Arabidopsis thaliana: one gene and its partner. The protein of the gene in region 2 purifies or fractionates together with the protein of the main gene of each other region. This does not show direct contact. Each region holds a gene or a part of one and is shown on either strand. Other genes may lie near its edges.

The links. Proteins that work in one complex are often made in the same cells at the same time.
Region 1: the proteins of AT4G10320 (region 2) and AT4G08640 fractionate together in Arabidopsis thaliana (co-fractionation; one large-scale study listed by BioGRID). This does not show direct contact.

Annotation. Positions count from the first base shown.
Region 1 is NC_003075.7:5,510,613-5,516,713, reverse strand, and holds AT4G08640 (ATP binding protein), read right to left. Parts: upstream 3,402-6,101; coding exon 3,267-3,401; intron 3,145-3,266; coding exon 3,011-3,144; intron 2,922-3,010; coding exon 2,788-2,921; intron 2,653-2,787; coding exon 2,540-2,652; downstream 1-2,539. Other genes in the region: AT4G08630 (fas-binding factor-like protein), read left to right, coding at 4,755-5,057, 5,147-5,302, 5,383-5,538, 5,636-5,788, 5,948-6,097.
Region 2 is NC_003075.7:6,397,366-6,407,856, reverse strand, and holds the start of AT4G10320 (tRNA synthetase class I (I, L, M and V) family protein), read left to right. Parts: upstream 1-3,184; 5' UTR 3,185-3,347; coding exon 3,348-3,881; intron 3,882-3,970; coding exon 3,971-4,036; intron 4,037-4,124; coding exon 4,125-4,646; intron 4,647-4,817; coding exon 4,818-4,931; intron 4,932-5,075; coding exon 5,076-5,173; intron 5,174-5,529; coding exon 5,530-5,608; intron 5,609-5,707; coding exon 5,708-5,866; intron 5,867-6,134; coding exon 6,135-6,224; intron 6,225-6,302; coding exon 6,303-6,436; intron 6,437-6,950; coding exon 6,951-7,110; intron 7,111-7,233; coding exon 7,234-7,317; intron 7,318-7,415; coding exon 7,416-7,625; intron 7,626-7,734; coding exon 7,735-7,860; intron 7,861-7,946; coding exon 7,947-8,084; intron 8,085-8,175; coding exon 8,176-8,279; intron 8,280-8,370; coding exon 8,371-8,434; intron 8,435-8,580; coding exon 8,581-8,669; intron 8,670-8,775; coding exon 8,776-8,917; intron 8,918-9,010; coding exon 9,011-9,074; intron 9,075-9,149; and 12 more. Other genes in the region: AT4G10330 (glycine-rich protein), read right to left, coding at 721-814, 901-1,051, 1,159-1,306.

The DNA.
Region 1 (6,101 bases), 890 kb from region 2:
ATATCATGATGAGTTGTAGAGAGTATCTCAAAGTTTTCTACACTCTCTCTTTCATTTTAATAATTTTTTATTTTTAATTGTGAGAAAATCTCAATGGAGATGGTCTTAATACTATAACATAGTTGGCTTAACCATCCATAATAATTATAAACTCTTTTAGAAATTTTTGGAATATTCAGACCAGTGGCGGATCCATGAAAACAATTTATGTAGGGCACAATAACATATGATTAATGATATTTGATTTACATAATAATCATATTAAGAACTATTTTATAATATTAAATTAATTATACATTGTCACCCTTAATATATTTTTAAATTGACATCGCCAAACACACTATTTTTAATTAGAAAGATGCATAGTTAGAAGTACAACTCACTACAAAAATGTAACTTATATATATATATATATATATATATATATATATATAATATTATTTATATTTACTTGAAACTTTAAATATTAAATTGACTAGAACATGATATAGCATTGTTTACTAATTCCCTAGTTTTTATTATCATTTTTAATTAAAATGTAGGTATACTTTACAATAGTTATGACTTCAAATTTGTTAAAGTTAAACTAGAATTACAAAAATAAAAATAGAACTGAAAAAGAATACTTTTATTTTTGTTTATTTTCAGCAGAACATAGTTTTACTTTAAAAAACGATAACAATGAATAAGAAAAATGCATCTAATTACATGAAGACGCTAAACAAGAATGTGGAAAACAAATATAAAATAAAGAGAATAAAAGCCAAAAACATTGTACACAGGGGTATCGAACACTGCATCTAAGATGTGGCATAGGGCACTTATTGCTAAATGATGTAAAAGATATAACCAATCAATTGTTACTAGCTAAAGTTTAAGAAGTAGTATGGGGAACGTGCCCTATCTCATGCTAATGTAGATCCGCCCCTGATTCAGACACAAGGATTCCAAGTCATATAGATCAAATCAAGAATCAAACTAAATTTCAAATAGATATCAAGTTGAATTATTATTTTTATAGTTAGATTATGGAAACTGATGTAAAATTCAAATGTTATATGAAGAAAATGAAAGGTAGTTAGAAAAGGTGATGCCAGTAAATTTTCACACTTGGTGTCAGTATGGATTAGTTACTCAATTTCATTTGATGACATCTTTTCCTGAAAAGAATCTCTTGATTTGTTACAATTAAGCTATCATTGAATTACACTGGCAAATTTGAATTTTTTATTTGGACTAGCCTATCATTTTATCATAGTTGTTGCCAATCTTATGTGTATTAATATACAAGATTTGTTTTGAAGTTAGATAATCCTTGTACAATTTTATTATGGTATGCATCCCATCCTAATTTGTGCATCCCCAGCTTCGACTTGCAGAAGATAAGTGTGAAGAATCAGATGCTAGAGCTAAGCAACTTGAGAAACAGGTATGCAGGTGGTTCATGCCTCAGTATATCATACAAATCTCTTCTTACGTACTGTTTATATTGTTTCATTACCTCGAGATTTTATCACATTTGTAAACTCAAAACCGATTTTTATTAGGTTGAAATCCTTGGAGAAGGTGTTACTATGAACGCACGTCTTTAAAGCAGGTAAGCTTCCGTTCTATTTAAATTCTGGATAACCTTTGACAAAAATTTAATTCTGTGAATGTGTTTCTTGCTTCAGAGAGAGGTTAGTGTCTTATCATTTATCTACATGGTCTCATACATTATTTTTTTATTATAAAGTTCCATGAGGCTTTATGATTCTAGTTTAGATCTTGGCCTATAAAAAAGTAGCATAATCCATAGAACCAAATTCTTTTCAGGCTGCTTTGAGAGTTGCATCACAAAATCATGGAGGAAGGAGGGTAGATGTTTTGGCTCTTCACACAGAAGCTGAGGTACTTCAAGTTTTGATATGTTGTTGTTCTTACGGGTATTTGTACTAACACCTTAGATCTTGGAATCGTTTTAGATTGCTAGGGAGGAGGCAACATCTTCGTTAGAGCACCTTTATAAAGTTGAATTCGAGCTTAACTCTCTTAAGACCGTGACTAATAGATTGATATTGACTCGAGAGGAGTATTTTTAAAGGTTCATACTTTTTGTTTCCATCTAGTGTATTTTTTAAATCGATAGTTTCTCATCTGGAGCTCTCTTTAGGAAGAGATTGTTCTGAAGAGGTGCTGGCTTTTACGTTATTGGGGCTTATGCGTTAGACATGGTTGTACATTGCTTTCTTACACATTATAATCTATAAATATATAAACTTTGATAATGTATTCCGTCTATTTTTGAGACATGACAAAAAAATGCCTCATGATCCTTTATACAGAGCAAATACTTCAAAAATGTCTCTTAAATAATCATCTAATAACAGACCTCTGCTTCTAAAAAAGGATAGAGTCGACAAAAAGAGTTCACATGTTAAGATTTTTTTACCTTTAGTGAAGACAGCTCCCGCAAACCTTTTAAGAACAATAATCTCTACATTACTCTAAGTCATTCATTACATGATAAAAAGAAACACATCAATTATCTGATCTAGTTTCAATCCTTCTTTTTCTCAGCCTGGAGCTTACTCTTAAACTTCTCTGCTTTCTTCTGAGAGGCTCTCTCAGCCCTCTCTGCATCTCTCTCTGCCTTCTTTACAGCTCTCTTGGCTACAGACAAGAATAACTAATTCAGTAAATATACAAGTATTAAATTGTATGTATTGATTCCATGAGTAATGTAGCTTTGTTGTTTGGTTAAGACTTTCCATTTCGTTCCACACAAAGTGATTGTTGAGGAATTACCAATCTCTGATAATGATGTAGAATCCATGTATCCAAGATGATGAGGTTGGAAATGCTGAGATGAATCAATTGCACCAACTATTGAACATAAACTGTTAATATCAATGTCAGAAGAAATCTGTAGAACCATTATCCTAAAAAAAATGGTATTGCCAACACTGTATTTATCAAAAGGTTCAGAAAAAATGATTCAAAGTAGGTTCAAATGTTAGAGATTACTTACTTGTAAATTTTGCAGAAACGTAGTGTCATTTCACAAATTGATGACCGACTAACAATAACTTTTACATTGGAAAAAGCAATATCTTTAACCAAAGTCTCAAGCATGGCTTCCTTTGACTTTCCAAAGTTATGTACCTAGAAGACTAGAACCCAAAATAAAGGAGAAAAATAGTCAACAATTAAAAACACAACCATCCTTGAGAAAGACAGTTACAAAGGATGCCATGTTATGCAAGATTTGTTCAACCTGGTCTCACCTTTGCATTTTTCAAAGGATGCCTAATGTTACCTACATCGTCACTTTTAAAGACGATACCACAGACAACGCAAGATTTGCGAGAGTCTACTCCCAATATCTTGGCAACATGGACATCATCAATGTTCATGGTCATTGCATTCGTTAGGACTTAAGAGCATACCTGTAAACAGATGAACCATTCTATTGCAATAACACTGAAGAAATGAGAAATAATAAAAAAAATCTTACATGAATAAAATACCTCAAGTACTAAAGAATTTAAACTTTTTTGGTTAAACTGCTTGCTAGTTATCATCCTCATTCGGGAAAGAAAAGTCTCTTGCACAACCATAGTCTCTCAGATATCTTAACTTGTTCTTGAAGTATCTCAAGAGCCTACCGAACAAAAAAACAAATATGATATTTATGTTTTAACTCTAGAAATAATAAATAGTAATAAGGACGCATCATTCACCTTTTCCAAGGATTTTGTATATCCCGAAATGTTATCAGTCTCATCTCTTTCAAAGAATCTTTATGGTTGAGAATTGATCTAGCAAAAGGAATGGCTAAATCATCTCTTTCATCTTTCTGCTGCTTAGAGGCTATTTCGGATATGATAAAAAGCTCATCTATCTTATTAAGGATTGATGTTGCCAAGCATAAAAACAACACAGAGATAAGTTACACTTACGTATTACAAAGAGAGCAAAAGTTAGAGATATCAAGTAATAAATGAAAAAATATGTATTGCCTAATAAGTAATTAATAATTTAATAAGAAATAAAAACTATATGAAAAATATTTTTTATCATACAACATATGCTATAATCACTGATCATAAGTCATAACTAGAAATATAAATTTCTATATGCCGTTGTGGTAGACGAAACAATTACGAGCTAACTATCAAATCAAATAATATATCTCTTAGTTACTTGATTTTCCTTTTTCTATTTTACAAACCGTGAGAAAACTTTAAAAACTGTACCTAAACCATAAACAAAAAGATGATAATGCTATTATAATTGGAAAAGGGTACTTTGGATAATTATTACACAATCGTGGGATGAAAACTATAAAATAAATAAATTTAGGTACTATCGATAACAATAATAAATTATTGGGGATGAAAGTATAAATAATTAAAGAAGAAACTGTTCTCAATCCGACCGTTGAAAGCCACTCGCAATTTCTGGCTAAATGACCGAAGATCAGTCAGAGAGAGAAATATGTGCTGCCATAAATGGCAAATTTATTCATTGCTTTTTCTTTTGAAACATTCTTTGAGATTTCTGTTGAATCTAATTTTGTAAGGTTCTGTTTAATTCACGCATTTAATTCTTTTTCCATTTTTCTGGATTTCACTTTTCTGTGATTTCCAAAATTTTGACAAATTTGGTAACTATTTTTTTAATTCAATGTGTGGAATTTTTAGTTCCAATCAAACTGCCATTGATGTGAATGTGATGATGAAAATCAATGTGCTTAATTTTTGTAGTTGACGATGAGAAACACGAGACCTATTCATGTTAGGAATAAGAGTACGGAACCAGGAACACCATCTTCGCCTATGATGACGTCTCCTCTAATGCATCGTCATACACGTTCAGGATCAAATGCTGGGCCAGCTTCGAATGCTAAGAAAGCTCAGACAAAAGCAGCTGCTCAGAGACTTGCGGCTGTGATGTCAAATCAAACAGGGGACGAGGAAGATAGTGATGAAGACCTTTCCTTTGACTATAATGCTATCGGAACAGGGAGCATTGGACTCGCAGCTGGAAGATCTCATCCTTCTCGCTCTCCTGTGGTAATTAAAATTAACAGACTCACTTTTTCACTGTAATGAGGGTTTTGCAATGTAGGGATTTTATGTGATAGTGTTTTCTGGACTGACAGATTAGGAATCCTATGGCAAGGCGTCAACAGATGGCAACTCCACAGTTAGTTGATGAGGACAATGAGGATGATGATTTTTCAGTGGATGTAACGAGCAGTAGACCAAGTATTGGACTTCCTGGTGGAAGAGCAATGAGACCTCAGTCTCCTGTGATGGTCAGTCTAGTTTTAAGTTCTTTTGCCTGCCAAGTGTATCTTGGTTTCAGCTTTCATATGTTGTTACTCTTTTGGTGCAGACTAAGATTGCACCTCCGAGACGTACACAACCAACAAACGAAGGAAATAAGAATGACGGTAATGATGATGATGATGTTGTTTCTATAGATTATACAATTGGTAGACCAAGTATTGGGCTTGGAAGTGGGAGGGCTATGCGGCCACAATCTTCTATGGTATTGATCGACTCTTGAAACTTGTTGTTTCTAGGTTTTTATTATTATTTTCATATTTTAACTATTTCTCAAAATTTCAATATTTTGGAAAGCACAGAACAAAACCCAACCACAAGGGCGTCCGGTGATGGCAGCTCATCAGCGAGCAGATGAGGATAACGAAGATGATGAGACTCCATATGTTTATACAAGCAGCATTCCAAGTGTAGGACTTCCTGGTGGAAGGGCTGCACGGTCACGTTCTCCTCTGGTAATTAGTTTGTTAAACACACTCATTTTGAATCTTGTACTTGTATATCAGCTATAAGAATGTTGAGAGTCATGTTGCTAGTAGTGAAATTTTTGATATCCTTACTGTTCTTGCTAGTTATTATTCGTTAAACTTGATATTTCACTTTGTGTATTACAGACTAAAAACCCTCCACTGAGGCATCCACATGCAGTAGCTCAGCCACCATCCAATGGAGAAAGTGATGTTGATTATGATGAGTCGTATACTAGTGGCATGCCAAGCATTGGACTTGCAGGTGGACGATCAATGAGACCTCGCACTCCTTTGGTAA
Region 2 (10,491 bases):
TCCTAGTTGGGGTTTTCAGTAAATTCCTTGGGACATTTGGAATCACTGTGGTCCTGTTTACTACCGTAATGTAGACGACAACCGGAATTTTCATATAGACGTAAAACTCCCAAGCTCAACGGTTAGATTTTCACATTGTATCAACAGTTATGAACATACTCATTACACCAAAAAGAGAAACGAATCATCCGACTAGTCCTAGACGTGAACATACTCTTTCTACAAGGAGTTTCCCACAATTCTATAACATATACATCATGTGGATCGAAACTGAAGCGATTGAGCCGCAGGATCATGTACATAGAGAATACGAAAATTTAATCATCTTGGTTCACAGTGCCGGTTCACACACAGTACTACGGTAGAATCGAAAGAGCTATAATGAATTTATGCCCTTTGGCCCTAGAGCTGAGCTCACTGTGCCACTATACGCACTATTCTACCTCCTTAAACTGAGAGAAAATCTCAAACTCAACCTCCATATTGATCCAAGTTGAGCCATAAAGAACAACTCATAGCACCAAAAATCAGCACTCAAACCATACACATTACCAGAATGATAAATCAGCCACCTAAATTATGCGAATCCATCTTTATACCATACGTAAAATTGTACAAAAAGAAAGGAGATTATCACTAGCCCCAAATCTACATTATTGATCTAAGAACAAACCAAACACTACCATTTACTTGGAAGCTGCAACAAATCCTAAAAGTTCATCATTTTAACCACTTGTCGATTTCATTTGTAGTAGCTTTCACAAGCTTCTTCGTGCTAACAACAAGTTCATCAATCAGTGAATCAACTTCATTCCTGTCAACAAATCACCAAAGTCAAAATCATCATCTTCTTCTTCAAATCCTTAATCACTAAAAATCTAATTGCAGACAAATACTCACAGAGATGGTTTTCCAACGTTGTAATAAGAACGAGAGTGATCATAAGCAGCTCCTCTTCCAACACCATAGCCAAAACCTACACCAATTCCACAACCAGCTCCAAATCCAAGACCAAATTGTAATCCAGGAACTCCTGGTCCGAATCCTACACCTGTTTTCATCAAACCAATCTCTACTCTCTTAAACCAAAACTATCTATAAATAGCTTCGAGCGATTCGCGAGTCTGCGATCAAAATTGGGAGAAATTAGAAATTTACCTCCGATAAGACCGGCGCCGAAACCAAATCCGCAACCGACACCGAGTCCAAAAGCTGGACCAACTTTTCCAATGTCTCTGATCCTAACTTGGGGAAGTTTCCAGAGCAATCCTTTGTCATCGTCTCCGGTTCTTCTTCTGTTGCTCATCGTCCCTTTCGCTCTCTCTTTCGGCGTGGATTCGCCAATACATACTTTAAATGGGCCTATATTATAAGGCGCACTCTTATTTCTCAAGGCCCAACTTCAGCCCAATAGTCATATAGATCTCATTTCACAAGCGATATTTGTTATGTTTATTTTATTTTAATCTTTTGTTTTATATCATAATGAATTTTATAGAAGATATCTGTTATGTTTATATTCATAATGAATTTGTTTTATATCATAATAATATGGATTTTCATTAACAACATTTTTTTTAATACATAAAACTAAAAAACCCACAATTATTCTCAAATTTTCACTTTGTTTTCAGTTACTTTATATATATTTGCCAAACATATTATATAATATATGAAGATTTGTTCTTACATATATTTAATGGATTGATGCCTCATTAGTTTTATTCTCAATTTCAAAACTAAAATTAATAACAAATCTTTCGTAAAACTATTAAATTTTAGATTCAACTAGATTAAACTCCATCCAATATGCATGTTTAATTTTTAAAACTAAAATAAATTTAACAAAAAGATATATTAAAATCTTATTGTAAGTAGAAAATAAATATATAATATTTTATTTTGAGAATTGTTTATTTATATATTCGTTTTTTCCTTATTCGAAAAATATTATACATGGAAATTACTAGTCAAATCATCATCTAATTTACATCTATTTACAAATCTATCGTCTACTTTACCACTAAAAATGTGTTTACTCACAATCATATTTTCTTGTTGAAGTATTCTCATTCCCACCACGTATAAAATGATTATATGAATGCATAAAGCCAACTACATGTGTTTTTATTTTCACTTTCACATAGTTTTTTAACCACTAAAATTATTGATTCATAAAATATTTTGAAAGAAAATATATCACATAGCAATAATTAATGATTTATTTATAAGAAAAACTAGAATAAGTAAAAATTACTCGATCGCAATGAGTCTATAATAAACCAATAAAGGTTGAGAAATTTGATTGGACAAAATTATAAGCACAATGATAAAAGATTAAGGCTTATAGATTCTATCGCAAGTAATAATTCTTTTCATTTTATATAAAACTATTTTGCATTTAAAAATATGTTTATCATTATTTGTTGCATATTTTGTACGAGAAAATTATTTGAAAAAATTCTATGCATGTTTTAATGTTAAAAAAAACTCTGTTGAGTGTATTCACGAGCCACTCAATGTAATTTTTATCTGATGTGAACATAATATATGCCTAAAGAAAAGTTTGAAACTCACCCTTATATTCAGATTGATGTTGTGGACTAATGTTGAAATATATTCTAGTATAAGTTCTAGACCACATGATTTCATATAAACTTAGGTCCAACTTTCACCAATTATTATGAAACATTTGTATTGGGTCTTAAATTTTTGCGACCCATTTGCAGATATTTTTGTTTTGTTTAAGCCTCGAAATTAGCAAAACTACCCCAAAATTAACAAAAATGCCCCATAATTAACAAAAATACCTTATAATTAGTAAAAAGTTCCATAATTGACAAAAAATGTCCAAAAATTAATAAATAAAAATTATCAATGTCTCATAATTAGGAAAAATAAATCAGTTTTTATTTTAGAAAAGCGTCAATTTGTTTTGTATTTGGCCTTGGATTTTAGATTTTAGTACATTTCTTATTATATTAAAGTATGTATATTAATCAATATTAAACTACTATCTTATTGATCATCATTTAACAGTTTATTCATCTAATATTTTCATCATTATTCATCTAATTCATCTGGTTCAGTATATCAACCACCATTTGACAGTTTCATAATAGTCAAAATATTTTCCTTCTTCCTTAAATCGATTTTTTAATACCAATAAGTGGAAGTTTGACCCAAAAAGAAAACAAACAAGTTAATGGGCTTACTACGGCCCATTAATAAACAAAAACGCACCAAAACTTCATCTTCAACGCCGGGGACTTTGATATCATCTGCGCCGAACAAAAACTCTGCAGAAACCCTAATTTTCGTCAGTGATTGATTCTTCCGTTTCCACCATGGAAGAAGTATGCGAAGGAAAAGAATTCTCATTCCCTCGTCAAGAAGAAGATGTCCTCTCCTTCTGGACTGAAATCGATGCTTTCAAGACACAGCTCAAACGCACTGAGAATCTTCCTGAGTACATCTTCTACGACGGACCTCCTTTTGCCACCGGACTTCCTCACTACGGACATATCCTCGCTGGTACGATTAAAGATATTGTGACTCGGTATCAGACCATGACTGGTCACCATGTCACTCGTCGGTTTGGGTGGGATTGTCATGGCTTACCTGTTGAGAATGAGATTGATCGGAAATTGAATATTAAGAGGAGAGATGAAGTTATTAAGATGGGAATTGATAAGTATAATGAAGAGTGTAGGAGTATTGTGACTCGTTATGTTGCTGAGTGGGAGAAGGTTATTACTAGGTGTGGTCGTTGGATTGATTTTAAGAATGATTATAAGACTATGGATTTGCCTTTTATGGAAAGTGTTTGGTGGGTTTTTTCTCAGCTTTGGGAGAAGAATCTTGTTTACAGAGGATTCAAGGTTTGTTTGGCATTCTTCTTCCTGCATTGATGTGGTTTTGAAGTTTCGTGGATCGTGATTTTTGTATTTGGGTCAATTCTGGTTTGCAGGTTATGCCGTACAGTACTGGTTGTAAGACACCTTTATCTAATTTTGAAGCTGGTCAGAACTATAAGGTAATGTTGTTGTTATTGTGTTCTTCAGGTGATTGATTTGTGTTGTATAGTTTGATCTCTGATATTGGTAGAATGTGTGTATGTACAGGAAGTCCCTGATCCTGAAATCATGGTGACTTTTCCGGTTATTGGGGATCAAGATAATGCTGCTTTTGTGGCATGGACTACTACTCCGTGGACTCTTCCAAGCAATCTTGCTTTGTGTGTAAATGCGAAGTTTGTCTATGTGAAGGTTCGTAACAAGAACACTGGAAAAGTGTACATTGTTGCTGAATCTCGGTTGTCTGCTCTTCCCACTGATAAGCCTAAGGCCAAGTTAAGTAATGGACCTGCTGGTGATACTAAGAAAGCAAATCCTAAAGCTAAAGGTGCTAAACCTGAGAGTGCAGCTGATTCTTATGAAGTTTTGGAGAAATTTAATGGAGCTTCCCTGGTTGGGAAGAAGTATGAACCTTTGTTTGATTACTTTAGTGATTTCTCAAGTGAGGCCTTTCGAGTAGTAGCAGATGATTATGTCACTGATGACAGTGGTACTGGTATTGTCCACTGTGCTCCTGCCTTTGGTGAAGATGATTATCGTGTTTGTCTTTTGAACAAAATAATCAAAAAGGTTAGGTTTGACTACATCTTCCTTATCACCCTTGCTAACATCAGGCATGAACTTTGCTCATTTGTTGTTTCTCTCTTGTTTAGGCTTACAGTATCTTCAAGAACCCATTCTCAGTTTACTCTAATAATCTTGCTTTATCTCATTGTGTTAAATGTTCTATATATGTTGCAGGGGGAGAATCTAGTTGTTGCTGTTGATGATGATGGGTTGTTTACTGAGAGAATTACCCACTTCAGTGGCCGTTATGTCAAAGATGCAGACAAGGATATAATTGAAGCCGTTAAGGTGATTACCGATGCTTGATAATTAGTCAGTTCAGATCATAATGATTTATCTGTTTCTTAGAGAATCTAAGTGCTTTTTGGACCATTGGATTTCTTTACTGTAGGTGATTTGTTTCATGAAGTAATATTATTTTTATTATTTCAGGCCAAGGGCAGGCTTGTTAAAACGGGAAGCTTTACTCACTCATACCCATTTTGCTGGCGATCAGACACCCCACTCATATATAGAGCAGTTCCAAGTTGGTATGCTTCATTTTCATATGAGTTTGAGCTAAGGTCTTAGTAGTTGGATCATTTAGTGCTAGTTCCAGTGAGACGGTCTCTCTTGTCCTTGCCTTGAACTTTGGCTCTTATGATTATATCTGGCAGCCCCTTTTCGGAGCTGTATTAGGTATCTTTGTGTATTTTTTTTGCAGAATAATCACCAAACTGTTTAGGATATTTTGATTTCCCATGTTTTCATTTATTTATTTTAGATTTCATATGTAGCATCTGACCTAAATGGCACGTAGTTATGGTCATAACTTATGAACTTTATTCTGTCGTTTTTCAGGTGTGGTTATGACTTTAAAGTTTTTTTTTGTGTTTTGACCTGTTAGGTTTGTGCGTGTGGAGCAGTTGAAAGAAAAGTTGTTAAAAAGCAATGAACAGACAGAATGGGTACCTGGTTATGTGAAGGTCGGTAGAAGAAAGGATCAGTACTCTGAGTATATATTACTAGTTCGTTTTGTTAAGTTTCTGATATGAATACATTTTTTTGATTAATGTGCAATTCAGGATAAACGTTTTCACAATTGGCTCGAAAATGCAAGGGATTGGGCAATCAGCCGAAGTAGATTTTGGGGCACGCCTCTTCCGATATGGATAAGTGATGATGGGGAGGAAGTTGTGATCATGGATTCCGTAGAGAAGCTTGAAAAGCTCTCTGGTGTTAAGGTCTCTTCTTTTGTTTTATTTACATCTCTCTTTATATCAGCAAATAGCTCACTGATGCTTTGGGAAAGTCTACTGTCATGATCTCGGTACCTTTATATGCAACCATTTGCTACTACTCAACTGTTGGATAAATTTTTCTAGAAGTCTTCCTTATATGTTCTGTCAACTTTATGACACTCTATGAGGGTTTGGTCTTTATTTAGTACTGGAGAATGTAGTTGTCAAAAAGTCTAATACTCATTTGTTTCTCTGATGATTTATGGTACAGGTCTTTGACCTGCATCGTCACCATATTGATCATATTACAATTCCATCTAGTCGTGGCGATGAGTTTGGTGTGCTCCGTCGTGTAGAAGATGTAAGATGAACCAATTTCTTTCATTTATCACTTATCCGGGGTCTTATCCCAAGCTTAAGTTTATATACGCTTTTACAGGTTTTTGATTGTTGGTTTGAGAGTGGGTCAATGCCTTACGCGTATATCCATTATCCGTTTGAAAACAAGGAGTTATTTGAGAAGAACTTTCCTGGTGATTTTGTGGCTGAAGGTCTTGATCAGACTCGTGGATGGTATGTCATTCCATATCTTGACTGTGGGGAGAAATATTAGTTAAGCTTTAGCATTTAAAATTATTGGATTGATATTTTGGTGGTTACGTGATGAAAAAAGGTTGCTTTTTATTAAGGTCTTTGAGAATGGAAATAAACCTTTTACCTTGTAGTATTGCAAATCTTAGTTAGTGTTTATCATGTCAACCCAAGATAGTTGCAAAAAACCCATATCATTTCAGTTCTCATATTTTTTCAAGAGTGGATTTCTACATTGATATATCCTATAAGCTCTTCTGACAAATTATTTCTTGCTTATCTCTGGGTTTGTTCCGTCCCTCTACTTTATGATATCTGGATCTTAGTTACCTCAATGATTGCACTTAATTAAGTTATGAGTCGATGCTAAAGGAAGGTGTGATCAATTTACTATGAAATGTGATTCTAGAAGTGTTTTGAAACGGGCATAATAAACAATATTTTTTTCCTAAGTAGAAAATAAATAGTTACTAAACTTGTCGCTGGGTATCTACAGGTTTTATACTCTTATGGTGTTGTCTACTGCATTATTTGAAAAACCAGCGTTTAAAAATCTGATTTGCAATGGTCTTGTACTTGCTGAGGATGGGAAAAAGATGGCTAAGAAATTACGGAATTATCCACCACCTTTGGAAGTCATAGATGAGTATGGGGCTGTAAGTTTTCCCTATAATATGCTCTTGTGCTGCGTTTTGAGCTTTTTCAAATGTTCTCTAGCTAAGAAAATCTTGGCAGTGTGTGTACGTAATAACTTAGTGACTTTACATGAACCTTGATAGGATGCTGTGCGATTGTACCTGATAAATTCTCCGGTTGTACGTGCTGAGCCACTACGCTTCAAAAAAGAAGGAGTACTCGGTGTTGTGAGTGATTTTGGTGGTTGAATTTATTGCTGCTTTATTGCTGTTTATTCGTGGTTGTTGTCTGAATTTTTTTCTGGTCCTGCATTGGGATTCACTAGGTCAAAGATGTATTCCTTCCATGGTACAATGCATATCGGTTCCTCGTTCAGAATGCAAAGAGACTTGAGACTGAAGGTGGTGTGCCCTTTGTTCCTACTGATCTGGCAACTATACAGTCAGCAAACATTCTTGATCAGTGGATTCACTCAGCTACGCAGAGTCTTGTTCGTTTTGTCCGCGAGGAGATGGATGCCTATCGGCTTTACACTGTAAGGTTTTTACATGTTATTTTCAGCATGATATGGTGTTCGCATTAGAAAACCGCCATCACTGTCTCCTGGTATTTATTACATCTTGGTTTTTGTTTTTCTTGTTTAGGTGGTTCCTCGTCTCTTGAAGTTCCTCGACAATCTCACTAACATATATGTCAGATTCAACCGCAAGAGATTAAAAGGCCGTACGGGGGAAGATGATTGTCACACTGCTCTTTCGACTCTATTCAATGTATACTAAAAATAGTTGCAGAGATATATTGTTTGTGGTCACCATGATTTGAACACTTGTTATATCTAATTATTGTCTATTTTCAGGTGCTCCTTACTTCTTGCAAAGTGATGGCCCCGTTTACACCTTTCTTCACTGAAACTTTGTACCAGAATCTGCGGAAAGCGTGTAAAGGTTCTGAGGAAAGTGTTCACTACTGCAGTATTCCACCAAGGGAAGGAATGGTAAGACTCAAGTCCACGTCTCTATATCCAATAAGAGAATAAAAGTAATCTGAATTTTGCCTGCTTATATTTTCTTTCTGTGTTTGAATAGGAAGGGGAGAGGATTGAGTTAAGTGTTACGAGGATGATGAAAATCATTGATCTTGCTCGGAACATTCGTGAGCGTAACAAACTACCCTTGAAAACTCCTCTAAAGTGAGTGTTGGTACTTGATCGTTTTCAGTTTCTGCTTTGTTAACCTAAAACATGAAAAAAAATTCACACATGCTTATCCTTGTTGTATCAGGGAAATGATTGTAGTCCATCCCGATGCTGATTTCTTAAATGACATAACTGGAGTACTAAGAGAGGTCTGTGGTGTTACAGGAACAGTAGTTTATCTTCTTGAAGTTTTAACTAATATTATAAATATGAAACTTTTTGAGATTATTGAGAACCATTTGATATCAGCCAATGATAGCTATGTGGATTTATCCTGTTTAATTTTGCATTGCAGTATGTCTTGGAAGAACTTAACGTGAGATCGCTTGTACCATGCAATGATACTCTGAAGTATGCATCACTAAAAGCAGAACCAGATTTCAGGTTGGTTAAGTTTTCTGTCTGTGTTTTTCTTTAAACCGCTGAGCTCAATGTGCTTTAGCCTTTCCAAAGGGATGTAGAGTGAAATTTTACATGTTCATTCCTGCAGTGTATTGGGAAAGCGACTTGGAAAGTCGATGGGGCTTGTTGCAAAGGAAGTTAAAGAAATGTCTCAAAAAGATATCTTAGCATTTGAGGAGGCTGGGGAAGTTACTATTGCTAACCACTTGCTAAAGGAAACAGATATCAAGGTCTCTCATGCTATGATGTTTTCCTGTGAGATAGCGTTAAGAGTATGTTGTTAATAGCTAAATTCTGACACATATCTTTCATGTGTTGTTCAGATTGTTAGGGTTTTCAAACGCCCAGACGATTTGAAAGAGAATGAGATTGATTCAGCTGGAGATGGTAAGAAGCGTAATTAATTATCACTTCTCTGTTGGTAGGATACACATATAATACTTGCTTTCTTTCATGATGCAGGTGATGTTTTGGTGATTCTGGATCTACGAGCAGATGATTCTTTGGTTGAAGCAGGTTTTGCCCGTGAGGTAAAGATATATAACTTCTCTAATAGTGTACTAGTCCTAGATGAAACCAAAGCAATACATTTTCTTATAACTTGTATATCTTCTGTGGGGTTCTTCTTCAGTATCTTAATATTTTATTTGCATATAAAGCGATGTTGTGCTTATGAGCTTAGTTTCCCTGTGTTAAAGATTGTAAACAGGATCCAGAAACTAAGGAAAAAGTCAGGTCTGGAACCAACAGACTTTGTGGAAGTGTACTTCCAATCATTGGACGAGGATGAATCTGTTTCTAAACAAGTTCTAGTCTCTCAGGTAACTAGTTTTTGTTTGTTACTCAATTCATCTGAACTTAAATTCTACTTGAAATTTACGAATGTTTCATTGCTTGTACGTAATTATTTGTTCAGCTATGGATCAAACGAAAATTTATGTTTCCAACATGAATGTCTTCAACCACATGCCTTAATTCTGTCTCATCACTGTTGTTTGTTGAACAGGAACAAAACATCAAGGATTCAATTGGCTCCACTTTACTTTTGTCTAGTTTAATGCCATCACATGCAGTAAGTCATCAACACTCCCATATCTGCTTATTTATTTGCACGGCAGAAGCTTAATGTTTATCCTCCTATCTTTTATGTAACAGGTCATAATAGCCGATGAGACATTCACCCCAAAAGAAACATCCGATGAGAGTGTCAAAAAGGTTCCAAAGTTGTCGTATAAGATAAGTTTGGCTAGACCGGCTTTGAAGTTCAATGAAGAGGCTGTTCTTGCTTTATACTCAGGTGAGTCACCATCTCATCACAATAGATTCTCACTGTCAATTCTCTCTCGCTTTCTGTTTAACGTGTATATTTATGGTTCCAGGAGATGTGAAATCTGCAACCGGGCTTCAAACATACTTGTTATCAAGGGATCATTCGAATTTGAAGTCAGAGTTCCAAGCCGGAGATGGGAAGGTTCGTTAGTTAAGCTTTTGTTAACCCAAATCGTTTACTTTATCATTTTAATGTATCTTGTATGGCAGATAACTGTAAGCTGCATTGAAAATGTGCCTGTTGCGACTGTGGTTCTTGGCGAACATCTCCATTTGAGTGTCGGCGATGACTTATTGAGCAAGAGGAACGCATGAGCCGTCCCTCCGGTTTTGTTTGATTTATTGTGGTAACTTGGGATTTATTTCCCTTATTTTTCTTCTTCCATATCTTACCTATAAACTACTTATTTAGATTGTTGCAAAAAGTTAAATCTCAGTGTTGAGACTCTCTTTTACTCGTTCTATTTGTACAATA